3 linked regions of the Coturnix japonica genome follow. The protein of the gene in region 2 purifies or fractionates together with the protein of the main gene of each other region. This does not show direct contact. Links are inferred from orthologs where the notes say so. Each region holds a gene or a part of one and is shown on either strand. Other genes may lie near its edges.

Region 1 (3,591 bases), on a different chromosome or scaffold from region 2:
ATCACCTAGAATAACTTTCAGGATTTGGATTGTTGTGGTTCTGCACTGCTGCTTTCAGGCAACAGGACTTGGAGATTAAACACGTGAAACAAAAAAAAGCAATTGACAGATATTCCCTCAGCTGCAGGCAAAAAATGCTTTCTGGAGCAGAGAGGCGGGTGCTCCAGGTATGAGCATCAACTGAGATTCCTGCAGGGGACAGGGTAAATAGTTGAAAAGAAGATAACACAAAGAAGGAACAAAAATGTATTTTACTTGATGGAACAAGGCAAAGCCCTTGTTAAATAGGACAGATGGGGACCAAGACAACTGACTTCCTCTGGCAGAGCTGCATATTCCTCTTCCATTAACAAAAGATCATTTGTGTGTAATCAAGAGAGCTGGGGCAAGCTGAAACCTGTTTATACCTGTAGCCACAACTGTGACAAACTTGGATCCGAAATGACCGTCTGGAGAAAGGCGACAGATGTTGGGGTGCTGGTTCTGAAAGTTCCCAGCTGTGATGCACTCTTCTGCACTCAGATAATAAGTGTCCTGAGGGAAGAGCAGAAACGTCAATAAAAAGGCCAACACGATGCAGCCTAGACCCATTTCCCTGGTCTGTAGCCAAGGAAAACTACCAACACCCTAGTAAAACAAGCTTTCCTAGAAGCAGCAGAGACTAAGAATGTGACTTATCAGCTCTCCAGCCATCAGCCTGACTTTTGCCAGAACGACCATCCCACTTTTGGTTCCACCCACCTTTCCAGGCTCATTTTATTATGGTGTTTCATTTTCTAAAGGGATATCCCTGATTTCAGAATTACAGGTAACTGAGAAGGTCAGAGTTTCAGGACTCGAGCTACATGCCTCACAAAGCCCTGCCCACATCCTCTGACTCAACCACTTCTGCTTGCTGAACTTGCATGACACAGAAACTCTCTCTCCACTCAATTTTTCTTAAACCACGAGCATAATTTTCTTAAAGCAGAACAGGTGAAGGACTGCAGGCAGCTCTGCCATCTATCCAAACAGCAACAACCCCTCTAACGGTGCTCTTAGAGCTCCAGCTCCTTTTCCTTCAGCAGCTGAAACCCACACATCACAACAATTTCAGCCCCAGTGTCACCCCCAGCCCTTGACTCCCTGTGTTGGGCAGAGCCAGCAATCAGGTGATGAGACAAACCCTCGATACGAGTGGTGGTGATGAGTGACACCTTTCAGTCTCACCTTGTTCCTGCTGTACCGAACAGTGCCTTTCCGTGTGTCTTCAGAGACCAGATCAGTAAATATCCAGCCAACCTATAAAGCAGCGTTATGGAGAAAACTGCTTTAAAAAAAAGAAGGGAAAAAAAAAAGGAAGCCCAAACCCACAGAAGAGAGCTTATACATTTTCTCCTAGCAGGACAAGATGTTCTTGGCTCCTGGCGCAGCCTTGCTGCATGCTGCCTGAAGGAAATGGCTCTCCCAGCTGTGCTGGGCTCATTTGAATACGATTTCCAGGAGCAGCGTGCCAGCTGGCCAGCCGGGGGCACCTGCAGCTTTATGTTTCACTATGGAATATTTTTTCATGGAAAGATCTGGAGGCTGCAAGAGGTTTCTCAGCCGCTACCTCCTCCCACCCACAGCAAAAAGCATTTCCTATCGAGCATTCAGAGCAAAGCAGCATCAGAAGTGCCAGCAGATGACAAAGCAGCTCACATGATCTCATTTTGAAGCCTGCAGTCCCTAGTTAAGATAAAGCTCACATGCTCCCACTGGAGTGTGACTCAATCCAAATCAACCCGCTCCGTTCCAAAAAATACATTCCTGCTTTTTGCATTGTTTGCACATAGGACTATAGATGTGTACACACACACGCACCGCTGCATGAACCCTTCTACACGTGTGCTAAAAACAGCTCTGATCAGCCCCTCGTGACTGACTCCCAAAGCATTAACCCTTCAGGGGAAGGGTCAATGCTGCAGACCCCAGACAGACAAAAACCTGCACCCAGCAGTAAGCTGCGTGTTAAATCACATTGATTAAAAATATCTGGCGTGAGAAGCAAAGTTAAAGGATGGAAATAAACAACGCATACAGAAGCTTTGGTTCAGACACTGGAAAATGCTAAAGATCTTATCTTCAGAGAACAAAAGACCTCACCACAGATGTTTATAGTCTGCTGCACCGAGTCTCTTCTGATTTGCATGTTCTTTAGCAAGTCAATTCTTGTTTGTGTACGTCTCATTCCTAGCATTCACATGATACCAAATGATTTCCCAAACCACAAAAATATATCGGTACAGGTTTGAGAGACGTCAGCAAGCCAGCAGAGCCCAGTGCCTGTATGCCCTGATTGGATTACTGGCAGGCCACGGGCACATGGGGAACAGAGGACTGAGGCTCAGATGCTGGGGGACCTGAACCTCCAGCCAACATCCAGATTAGCTCGCCACAGCCTGTCTGAGCAGCACTGAGAGGCAGGACCTGCTGATGAGAATAAAAATCCAGCAGGAGCCTCCGCTCCTGGAAGCGGAACGCAGATTCTGCCAGAAGGAGGAATAAACTCAGAAGGCAACTCCAGCTACAGCTGTGCCAAATTAGCACTTGCTGGGGAGATGCTACTAGGAACAGCTCCTGTCAGAGGAGAAATAAAGGGAAAATAGTGGTTTTTTTCCTTCTTTGCTATTCTCTTTGATGTCACTCATGACAGAGGATTGCTGACTGCAGCTGAACAGCCCTGAATGCTCATCCTCACAAAAACATTTGTGGTTGCTTTTTTTCTTTCTTTAATAGACCTAGAAGGGTAAGAGCTACCAACACTTAAGCTAGATTTCATATGAACCCAAATGGTCTTCAGGAGCCCCACTGAGCTGAAGAGAACTGCTGGTGACTTTCTTCACTGCCATACAAAAGACACGTGATATCCAGCACCATCCTAACCTTTCTCAGTCCAAGCTTGGCAGCAATCTCATCCACAACCTCTGCTTTCGGATCTTCCAGGATCTCCAGGCTGTTCTGTGTACCGATCTGCACAAAGAAAATCTTGCTAGTAAAACAGAACAGGAAAATACACAGCACACGTAACCATCACCATGAGAAAGGCAGGGAATGGAAGAGCAGTTCTGCATTTTCCTTCAGCATTAGCTCTGACAGCTCTCACTCCAGAGACCTCTGTTACTCACAGCCTCATCCTGCAGGAGCTCTCCGGGTGGGCCTGCAAACCACGCAGGGGTTTATGAATGAAAGACTCTTGCTCAGCACTTACAAACAGGCTATCGCTGCTTCTGAGAGCTTTGGAAAAGGCAAGAGATTATATAATTTTCCAAAGCTCTCTTCAACCTGCCAGTCCTGCCCTGCCCTTTCATTTGTTGCAGTCTCTGAGCAGTACAGAGGCAGAAGTTCAGGGAATTCAGGGGCTGCCACGCAGGCCTGGAAAACACAACTCCATCTGAGTGTGCTTCAGAGGCGAGTTTTCTCATGTGGGGAGATGCTCTGCCAAGAAGCACAGCAGAGACTGCTTGCCAGCAAAGCAAAACTTCCTTGCTTTTGCTATGCACAAATAAACTACACAAACTTCCAAAGTGAGAATTTAACAGCAAGACCAAAACAGAGGGCATGGCTGCGTGG
Region 2 (4,324 bases):
ACTGCTTCTGTCCTTTAGATAAAAAGTGGTTTTTTAGCATGAAGAAGTGGCATACAAGGTAGTTAGCTGGCATTGCGTGCCCCCTGGGTAGTGGAGGCCCTCACTTGAAACCTGCTCACCGGAGCCGTTGCTCTCGTTTTATCTCTTCTGCAGTGAGGTTGTAGAAGTCATTTGGCAGCTCAAATCGGGCAGCTTCAGGTGATGGTTTAAATACACAGAGCTGGCGATCCAGCTGGAGTCTCAGCGGCTCACAGCTTAAAAGCTGATCTTTATAGTACTTAAGGTCTTCCAACCTGGTCAGCATTTCTTCCTTCAGTACGTAATATTCTTCAGTGGTGTCTACAACCAAAAGCACGTTCACATATGAAATTTAAGGGCAATAATCTCCAGAAAACCTACTGCCTTAACAAGAAAAAAGCAGGACCAGAGGCTGTTCATGTAAAACAGCCCTGAAGTGTGAAGCTCTCAGAGCCTCCCCTGGGATGTCCCATCACTCAGGCTGCTGCCTTCACTTTATAATACACTTAAATATCTTGCCTTGTCCTGGAACAGGCAGTGTTTTTGTCTCAAACCCAACAGACTGGAAAAATTTATGTATGCCTTCCAGGCAGTTTATCCTTTCCTGGAAGAAAAGGAAAAATATTAAATGTAATCTGCTCCAGGCAATGAGTTCCCCAGGCAGAACAGCTGCAACAATCCTGATCTCACCTGAAATACTTTGTTCTGTAGTTTGATTTTCTGGTACTTCTCCTCCTCTGGATGCCGATAGATATTGTCCAAGTATCTGCAGAAAGAGGAATCTATGTATTTCATGGATCAAAGCGGGCACTTTAGGACATGCTGCCCATAAGGTCTCATATGGAAAAGTAAGGAAAGCAAACTATTCATTTCAAGCAGCACCTCCTAAACCTCTTGGACCAGTAGATCAACTCAAAGCATCTCAGACATTGCCTGGAGTGCAGCAATGCCTGTTAACCTTCCAGGGAAGGGACAAGCTCCCTGCGTGCTCCATCCTACTTACTTGGCCATGGTTTCTACACCCACTCGGACTTTGTCCCGATCCTTATTAAAGGTGTGAATCTCCATGATGGAGGCGGCCACTGGGTCTACTGCAAAATACTGGGAAAGAAGAAGAGAAGTCGTGGGTGGACTGACTATTCTGTACAATCAAAGAGCGTTTATAGCAAGCCAAAGGGACAGGCACTTATAACATCTGAACAGAGCCTGCAGTCTGAGAGATAGGGGAGAAGATAGGAGGGTAACTGCTGTATTGCTTGAGGGGATTAATGCACAAAATGAGTTAAAATGGAAGCAGCACAGCCTGCAGATGTAGATCTCACCGACTGGATGGCTTCTCTGATGTGTTTTTCTTTCTCATCTTTCCTTACAACTGCGCTGGTCAATGGGCAGATGAAATAAACCCCTGAAACAGAGGGTTCAGCTGCAGCTTCCTTGTACGAGAAGGCTGGGTCCTAAAAGAGACAAAAGCAGGTGCAACTGAATTGTATTGTTTGTATTGTATTGGATTGCTGTGGGTTGTTTGCATATATCTATAGGACAGGAACAACAGCACTCTCAAAGCATTCATTTTATCATAGGGAACAAGCTGCTCGTACCTCTTGGTCTGCACAAACCCCTTTCTCACTTGCAGCTGCCTCAGCCATCAGCTCCTTTCTCACTAGGAGAGAAAAAATCCCAGTTATGGCAATAGGGGAACAGAGCTCTGCTTCCTCAGAGTGCTTTGCATTGCACAGCTGATTGCCTTAACCCCATTTCTAAGAGGCTCGTCATCAAGGAGCCAGCTCCAGCTGCCAAGATGGGGACTCTACGCTCAGACCTACAGCAGCTGGTTGAGCTTGGAGGTAACACTGATAAAGCTTTGCAGCCCAGCCAGGCTTGTAACTGCGAGGAATCTCCTACCCTGGTTCTTTATGGCCTCGTAGGAGGAAGGTGGCTTCGCTTTGGGCTTCAGCTCCATCCGAGCCATCGCTGCCGCCGCCGCCATCTGTGCTTCATCGGTGGGTCCTTGTCGAGGCTTCGGTGCTGCCTCTGCTTTCGGCTTCTCCTTGGGGACCCTACAGGACAGAACGCAGCTCTATGGGCCCCTTGACCGGCAGTAACAGCTTTTAGCACCCCAACCAGCCCTTGTATGGACTCAAGGTATAGATCCCAACCAGCCCTTGGGTGGACTCAATGGATCCCAACCAGCTCTTGGATGGACTCAATGTATGGATCCCAACCAGCCCTTGGATGGACTCAATGTATGGATCCCAAATAGCCCTTGGATGGACTCAATGGATCCCAAACAGCCCTTGGATGGACTCAATGTATGGATCCTAAACAACCCTTGGATGGACTCAATGTATGGATCCAACCAGCCCTTGGATGGACTCAATGTATGGATCCCAACCAGCCCTTGGATGGACTCAATGTATGGATCCCAACAACCTTGGATGGACATCAAGTTGTAGGGATCCCAACCAGCCCTTGGATGGCCTCAATGGATCCCAAACATCCCTTGGATGGACTCAATGGATCCCAACCAGCCCTTGGATGGACTCAATGGATCCCAATCACTCCCAGCCCCATTCGTTAACACAGCCCCCCCCCAAGCCGTGACGTCCCGGTCCCGAGCTCCATCTCTGGGCCCAACGGGCGGTACCGAGCGGTTACCGGCGGTGCAGAGCCCCGTACCGAGTCGGTTCCGAGAGTTTCTGGCCTGGTCCAGCGCTTCGAAACTTCAGGTCGGCCTTGATCTCCTGGAAGAACTTGCGCATAGCGACGGAACCGGGACCCGAACCAACACCGGAACGGTACCGGCCGCACCCACCTCCCACTTCCGGTCTACTCACGTGATCGCACCCGGAAGTAGGTGGGGGCAGCAACGCCTTCCTGCCGTTCTACCCAGCCGTCTCTGTGCGCGGTCCTCCAGGCTCCCCGGGGCTAATGGACCTGTATGGTGTCCTATAGTTGGACCCTTCAGCCCCACTATGGGGCAGGTAAAGTGGGTCAAGATGCAGATCAGAGTGGTCTGAATTGGAATGGACCTCTAAAAGCCATCTGGTCACACTCCTGCAGAGAATAAGGTCACCCACAGCTTAAAGAGCCCCATCCATAGTCATATTATCCCCATAGACACCTCTTTGGGTCCTTATACCCACTCTAAATCTCCCCTCTTTTAGTCTGAAGCCATTTCCCCTTGTCCTATCACACAGACCCTGCTAAAGAGCAGCCCCTTGTTTCCTATAGCCCCTATAGGTACTGAGAAACCACTCTCATCTCCCTATGGAGCCTCCTCTTATACACAGCCCCAGCTCTCAACCCATCCTACATCATTTTTATGGCCCTCTCTGGTCACACTCCAACAGGTCTGTGTCTCTTTTGCACTGGACTCAATGCTCCAGGTAAGCTCTAACCAGCACAGGGGCAGATCCCCTCCATCATTTCCTATGGCCTTCTAAGCAGCCCCCAACAGGGAACACAGCACACTCAGTTTGTTCTCACTCCTCTCCCATAGGTGTAATTGCTCCGTAGTTAATCCCTGCCACACGTGTGGGTTGTGTTTGCTAACAGCCTCACCAGGCTCAGCTGCATCTCATCCAGCTTCCATTTCTCACTTGGGATGCAGCAGCAAATTGTTGCTTAAAAGCTGAGCTAAAGCAGGATGAATCAGATGGGCTGGTTGGGTTTGGCTCCGTGAAAGCACAGAAATCAGGTCATTAAATCACAGGTCTATGATCCTAAATCAGCTCTAATTCCTCTGCATGCTCCCTGCTCCTTTCCTATCCAACTTTCCCCTATATTAAGGGCAAGCTCTCCATTCCTATCCAACCTTCCCCTACATGGCTGTGCTCTTTAAGGGATGCCTTCCATACCCCCAGCCCTGCTCTCATGGTTATATCAGGACAATTCCATGGAGCTGCTGGGCTTTAACCACCCTAAAGCTCCATCCCATGGGCCTTAACCTCCCTAAAGCTCCATCCCATGGGCCTTAACCTCCATCCCATGGGTTTTAACCTCCCTAAAGCTCCATCCCATGGCTCTGGGAGGCTCATTTTGCTTATCTGTCCCTAACGAGATGGCTGCTCATTGCTTTTTCCCCCTCAAAATCATTCACCTTCGTGCCATGGGGACCCTCCCTGGCAGCCTATTCCCCCCTCATAGCTCACCACAGTCCCTGACCCCTTTAAACCTATGATCCCCCATCCCCATAGACCCCAATACCCCTCCATATCTCCCCCCCATCCATACCCCTCTTTACCCCCTCCCCTCCAGCTCTGGACCCAATCCCGTTATCCCACCGTACCCTCCCTTCTTTCTAATG
Region 3 (3,903 bases), on a different chromosome or scaffold from region 2:
GTACTGGTTCTGCAGCTGCTGCTCATCTCAGATACAGAGAAGAAACTGGGCCGGGATGTGTTTGTGCCTCTGTCAGATTGAATCATACCTAACTCTGTGAGCAGCAGTTGGGTCAAGACAGACCAGATATTAACCTTCTAATGCTCATTCCTGTACTTAACCCAAGAAACTGCCCCAGTAGTACTGACAGCGCTGTTCATGCCTCCAGACATTTCCTTCTCTTTGCCTGTACCACATACAAGTGACAAAACATGAAATCAAAACAGATAAGGCACTCCACGTTGCCTGTGCTCTTCAAAAACAAAGAGTAGCACACCTGAAACCCAGCGCAGCTTCCTGCTGCCAGAACACTCCTATTTACTCTTAATCCGGTGATTCAAACACCAGCACGAGTACATCAGTGCCTGTGCTGGGAGCCAACCTATAGCTCTCTTGGTGGACCTGCAATACATCCTGCACAAACTCAGCACAGCAGCTGTAGCTGCAGCATAACTTGTAACTCCTGTGAAAGGAATCAGCAGGACAGAGCACCAGAAGTAAGGAACAGACAGCAAGCTCAGCCCACACAACCATCTGAAGTAGTAAGCTTTACACATCATTTTATTTTGGCCTTGTTTTGCTATAATACACCTTTTATAGACATCAAGCACCACAAGAGCTTGCCTTTCAAAGGAAGAACTTAGAGCAGCATGTCTGCACACAGCGCTCTTGTATTCTCTCACTGCCAGTGGCCGCACACATTCCTTGTTTATGTTTGGGTGTCATATAAGGAATCAATCAACATTTTTGTTGAAGCATTCTGCTCCCTCCGCTTTAAGTCTCCTTTTTCCTCTTCCACCTTTCATGCTTCTCCCTCCCTTCAAGTTTCTTCAAAGCATCTAAGAGCATTTGGAAGTAATTAGACCTGAAGGGAAATGTTGGCCAGGCTGGGAGACAATGACAAGTGCCAGGAACCCTGGGTGCCCTTTCTAGCTACTTTGAAGTTCATTCAGATGGTACAAAGCTCTGTTTTGCTTTGTTGGGGGAAAAAAAAATGAGAGGAAGGGAATGAGGCATGACAGGCCCATTGAAAAGAGAGCAGGTTCCTGTGAACTGACAGAGAAACAGAGCACTGGGGGAAGGAACACATTATCAAAGAGACCGACAAAAAGGCCTCCTCTGGCCACTGTACTTTATTACATCTCAAAACTGTGCAGATGCACACATAGTTTAGAGAACAATTGTCTGTACAGGGAAAATGGAAAATATGCTGTTACCATAACATGGAACCCCAGCTCGCCCAATATGAATCACCGATCCATGGAGAAGACTTAAAAAAAAGAATGATAATAAAGCACCATGGCTACTGTGGCACTATAATCTCCAGTGTAAGCACAGCTCTAAACAGTAACACTCATCCCACTGCAGCATCTGCAGGAGGCAAATTCAGGACCAGCACTTCCCTCTGTACACCAACTGCAATGCAAGGAACAGCTCACTCTGCTGTGGAAGCTTTCAGACCACAGAAGACACTTGTGGACTGATGGTCACACAAAGAGATTCACATAGGACTATTTTTTTCCCTGCATTATATCCACAGTTGCTGGCATAAATTATGTGCAGAGAAAGTTCCATTAACAGATACCTGTGTTCTAAGGCAAATGAAAACAATGTAAGTGCAGTAGACCAAGAGTTTCATAGGAAAATGCAATTTGAACTGTTGTAAGCAATGTGCTTCCCTTAAACCCACTTTCTAGCCATCTATACCCAGAATCACCAGCAAAAAGCAGAGGTGTCTTGTTCTAGTCAGCACTAAACTACAGGTAAAATTGAATTGGACTTTGCTGCTTGAGTTCAAGCAACCAGACTGAAGTTACCTTTGAGAACAGAAAGGCAAAATACAGGAGGATTTGAATTTAAAAACATGGGTGGAATCGCAGGCCTTCACAGACATTACCTAGGAATTATTTTCCCTTCCTTTCTCCATTCATATTATTTGCATGCAGGAAATGTTACATTTAACCTTTAATCTTGCTTCTGTAGTCACAAAGCCCATAAACAGGCCTTTCAAAAAGGCCTCCAAAAGGTGAAGCTGGCAGCTGAAAGTAATAGCAATTTTCTGGATATAATTAATGTTCATATGTGTTAAATCTCTCCAGGGCCACCAACAATTTCTTACAAATTCTGAAGTAGTTCATCAGGAAAGAGGCACAACTGGATGCTCACTGCAGCTCAGGATGCTTCATCTCTTCCCACCTACAACACAAACATAAGGCCATTAAAACACTTAACCACACAGTTCACACCGCATCGTTTCTCAATAGCACGATCTTGTTCTATGTGCTGCTGTGTTCCCTGGAATTCCAAATAACATTTCATACTTTTACTTCCTTATGAAATCAGTATTCAGGCACCTCTCCAGTGAAGGCTGAGGTTTAAGGCACAAAATGATTTGTAACTGACAAGCACTGATACACGTCCTATCAGCCTCCTGCTGACATCTTCAAGAGCAGTGTCAACACTGAAAGCGTTTCTGTGGAGTTCAATGGGTGAACTCTCCCTTGACTTTGTGTTACCTGGCAGCTTCAGCCACTTGGGTATTTTCCCAGGGGGCCTTCTCAGCACCTGTGGAGCTTCATGCATTCTTGCTGCTTCTGGTCGTTCAGTCTTTTTGTCACTGCCCACTTCTGGTTCAGGTAGGGGTGGAACTATTGATTCTAAAGTTGATGAGGCAGAAGGAGCTAATGGTTTGGACAGACATCTAAGGAAGAAAACAAACAAGTAAAATTAAACTTCCTTTTTTCATACTAGCCCCATGTATCACTGCATTTAAGCTTTCTAAGTCAGACTGACAAGGCTTTTCTCCATGATAAAGACCCTAATATTTACTTGATTTAGTCACTGAAATCCTGCTTTACAAAGAAGGACTCATCAAGATACAAATTCAGATATGATTGTATGAAGGAGTAACTGGAGTTCTAGCATCTTCAGATCATATTTCTTTTTAGAAAGGCACTTCATGCCCCCAGCCCTCCCTGAAATACTCACCTGCAACTCTGACATACCTGGCCATTAATAAATCAGCTGCAGAAGGGGAAACTGCAGAGCTCAGCAGATCCGATTTCAGGTAACAATCTGTTTAAAATGAAACAATGAAATCCAATCACTTGTTTGGTAACAAAAATACATCAATCACAGAATCACATAGCCCAGTGCTCAACAAGTATCTGCCGTATGCTACAGCAAGTTTCCTATCAGCTGAGAAATAGAACACTTTCAAACTATGACTGTTTCTTACACAACTCAAGGTGCTTTACTTTGTCATTCATTCAAAACCTCGAGAGGTTGAGAGCAGGAGGTCTGTATGAGCATCTCACAGCTATCTAGCTAACATTTCCTACCATGAAATTTCCTTCTATAGAATCATTCTTCTTTCATTTTTTGTCCTCATAGTAGATAATGCCTGCTCCACGGCCCAGCAAATCTCACAAGAAATGTACCATATTTATATTTGTGCTTAAACTAACTATAGTCAAATCCACTTCTAGTGAGACCGACCCAATTCTGATGAGCTTCAGCTATTCTGAAGGGGAACAGTTACCAGCACTGGCAAGGACTGCATTATCTTTTGTTGGAAGAAATCTGAACATACTGACACAGTCTATACAGCGCTATACAGTCAGCTGAAGAAGAGAGGAAGCTCACTCACCCCTGCGCTCCTCAGATCCAAAATGAATGACAGCAGCTGGAAAGAGTTTAGCCTGCAATGGGGAAAAAGAAGAGGTTACTGATTGTAGGAGCTTTCACACTCTGCTGTGAACATTAGAGAGTGGTTAGACAGCTATGGACTAATTCATACAGTTAAAGATCAGGTCACTGAACCATCTATTACTCAGAAAAGCCTCAACTTACATAGAGCACGGG

The links.
Region 1: the proteins of UBXN6 (region 2) and NPLOC4 purify together in Homo sapiens (affinity purification with western blotting; 3 studies listed by BioGRID and IntAct, with this or other methods). This does not show direct contact. The link is inferred for Coturnix japonica from reciprocal best matches to the Homo sapiens genes UBXN6 and NPLOC4.
Region 3: the proteins of UBXN6 (region 2) and ASPSCR1 purify together in Homo sapiens (affinity purification with mass spectrometry; 4 studies listed by BioGRID and IntAct, counting the BioPlex papers as one, with this or other methods). This does not show direct contact. The link is inferred for Coturnix japonica from reciprocal best matches to the Homo sapiens genes UBXN6 and ASPSCR1.

Annotation. Positions count from the first base shown.
Region 1 is NC_029533.1:5,193,557-5,197,147, forward strand, and holds part of NPLOC4 (nuclear protein localization protein 4 homolog), read right to left. Parts: intron 2,992-3,591; coding exon 2,905-2,991; intron 1,282-2,904; coding exon 1,210-1,281; intron 535-1,209; coding exon 408-534; intron 1-407. UniProt on the Homo sapiens protein: The ternary complex containing UFD1, VCP and NPLOC4 binds ubiquitinated proteins and is necessary for the export of misfolded proteins from the ER to the cytoplasm, where they are degraded by the proteasome.
Region 2 is NC_029543.1:1,643,071-1,647,394, forward strand, and holds the start of UBXN6 (UBX domain-containing protein 6), read right to left. Parts: upstream 2,867-4,324; 5' UTR 2,778-2,866; coding exon 2,695-2,777; intron 2,076-2,694; coding exon 1,921-2,075; intron 1,679-1,920; coding exon 1,617-1,678; intron 1,473-1,616; coding exon 1,341-1,472; intron 1,120-1,340; coding exon 1,022-1,119; intron 785-1,021; coding exon 709-784; intron 623-708; coding exon 538-622; intron 340-537; coding exon 120-339; intron 13-119; coding exon 1-12. UniProt on the Homo sapiens protein: May negatively regulate the ATPase activity of VCP, an ATP-driven segregase that associates with different cofactors to control a wide variety of cellular processes.
Region 3 is NC_029533.1:4,364,164-4,368,066, forward strand, and holds the end of ASPSCR1 (tether containing UBX domain for GLUT4), read right to left. Parts: intron 3,741-3,903; coding exon 3,689-3,740; intron 3,115-3,688; coding exon 3,045-3,114; intron 2,741-3,044; coding exon 2,556-2,740; intron 2,236-2,555; coding exon 2,222-2,235; 3' UTR 575-2,221; downstream 1-574. UniProt on the Homo sapiens protein: Tethering protein that sequesters GLUT4-containing vesicles in the cytoplasm in the absence of insulin. Modulates the amount of GLUT4 that is available at the cell surface. Enhances VCP methylation catalyzed by VCPKMT.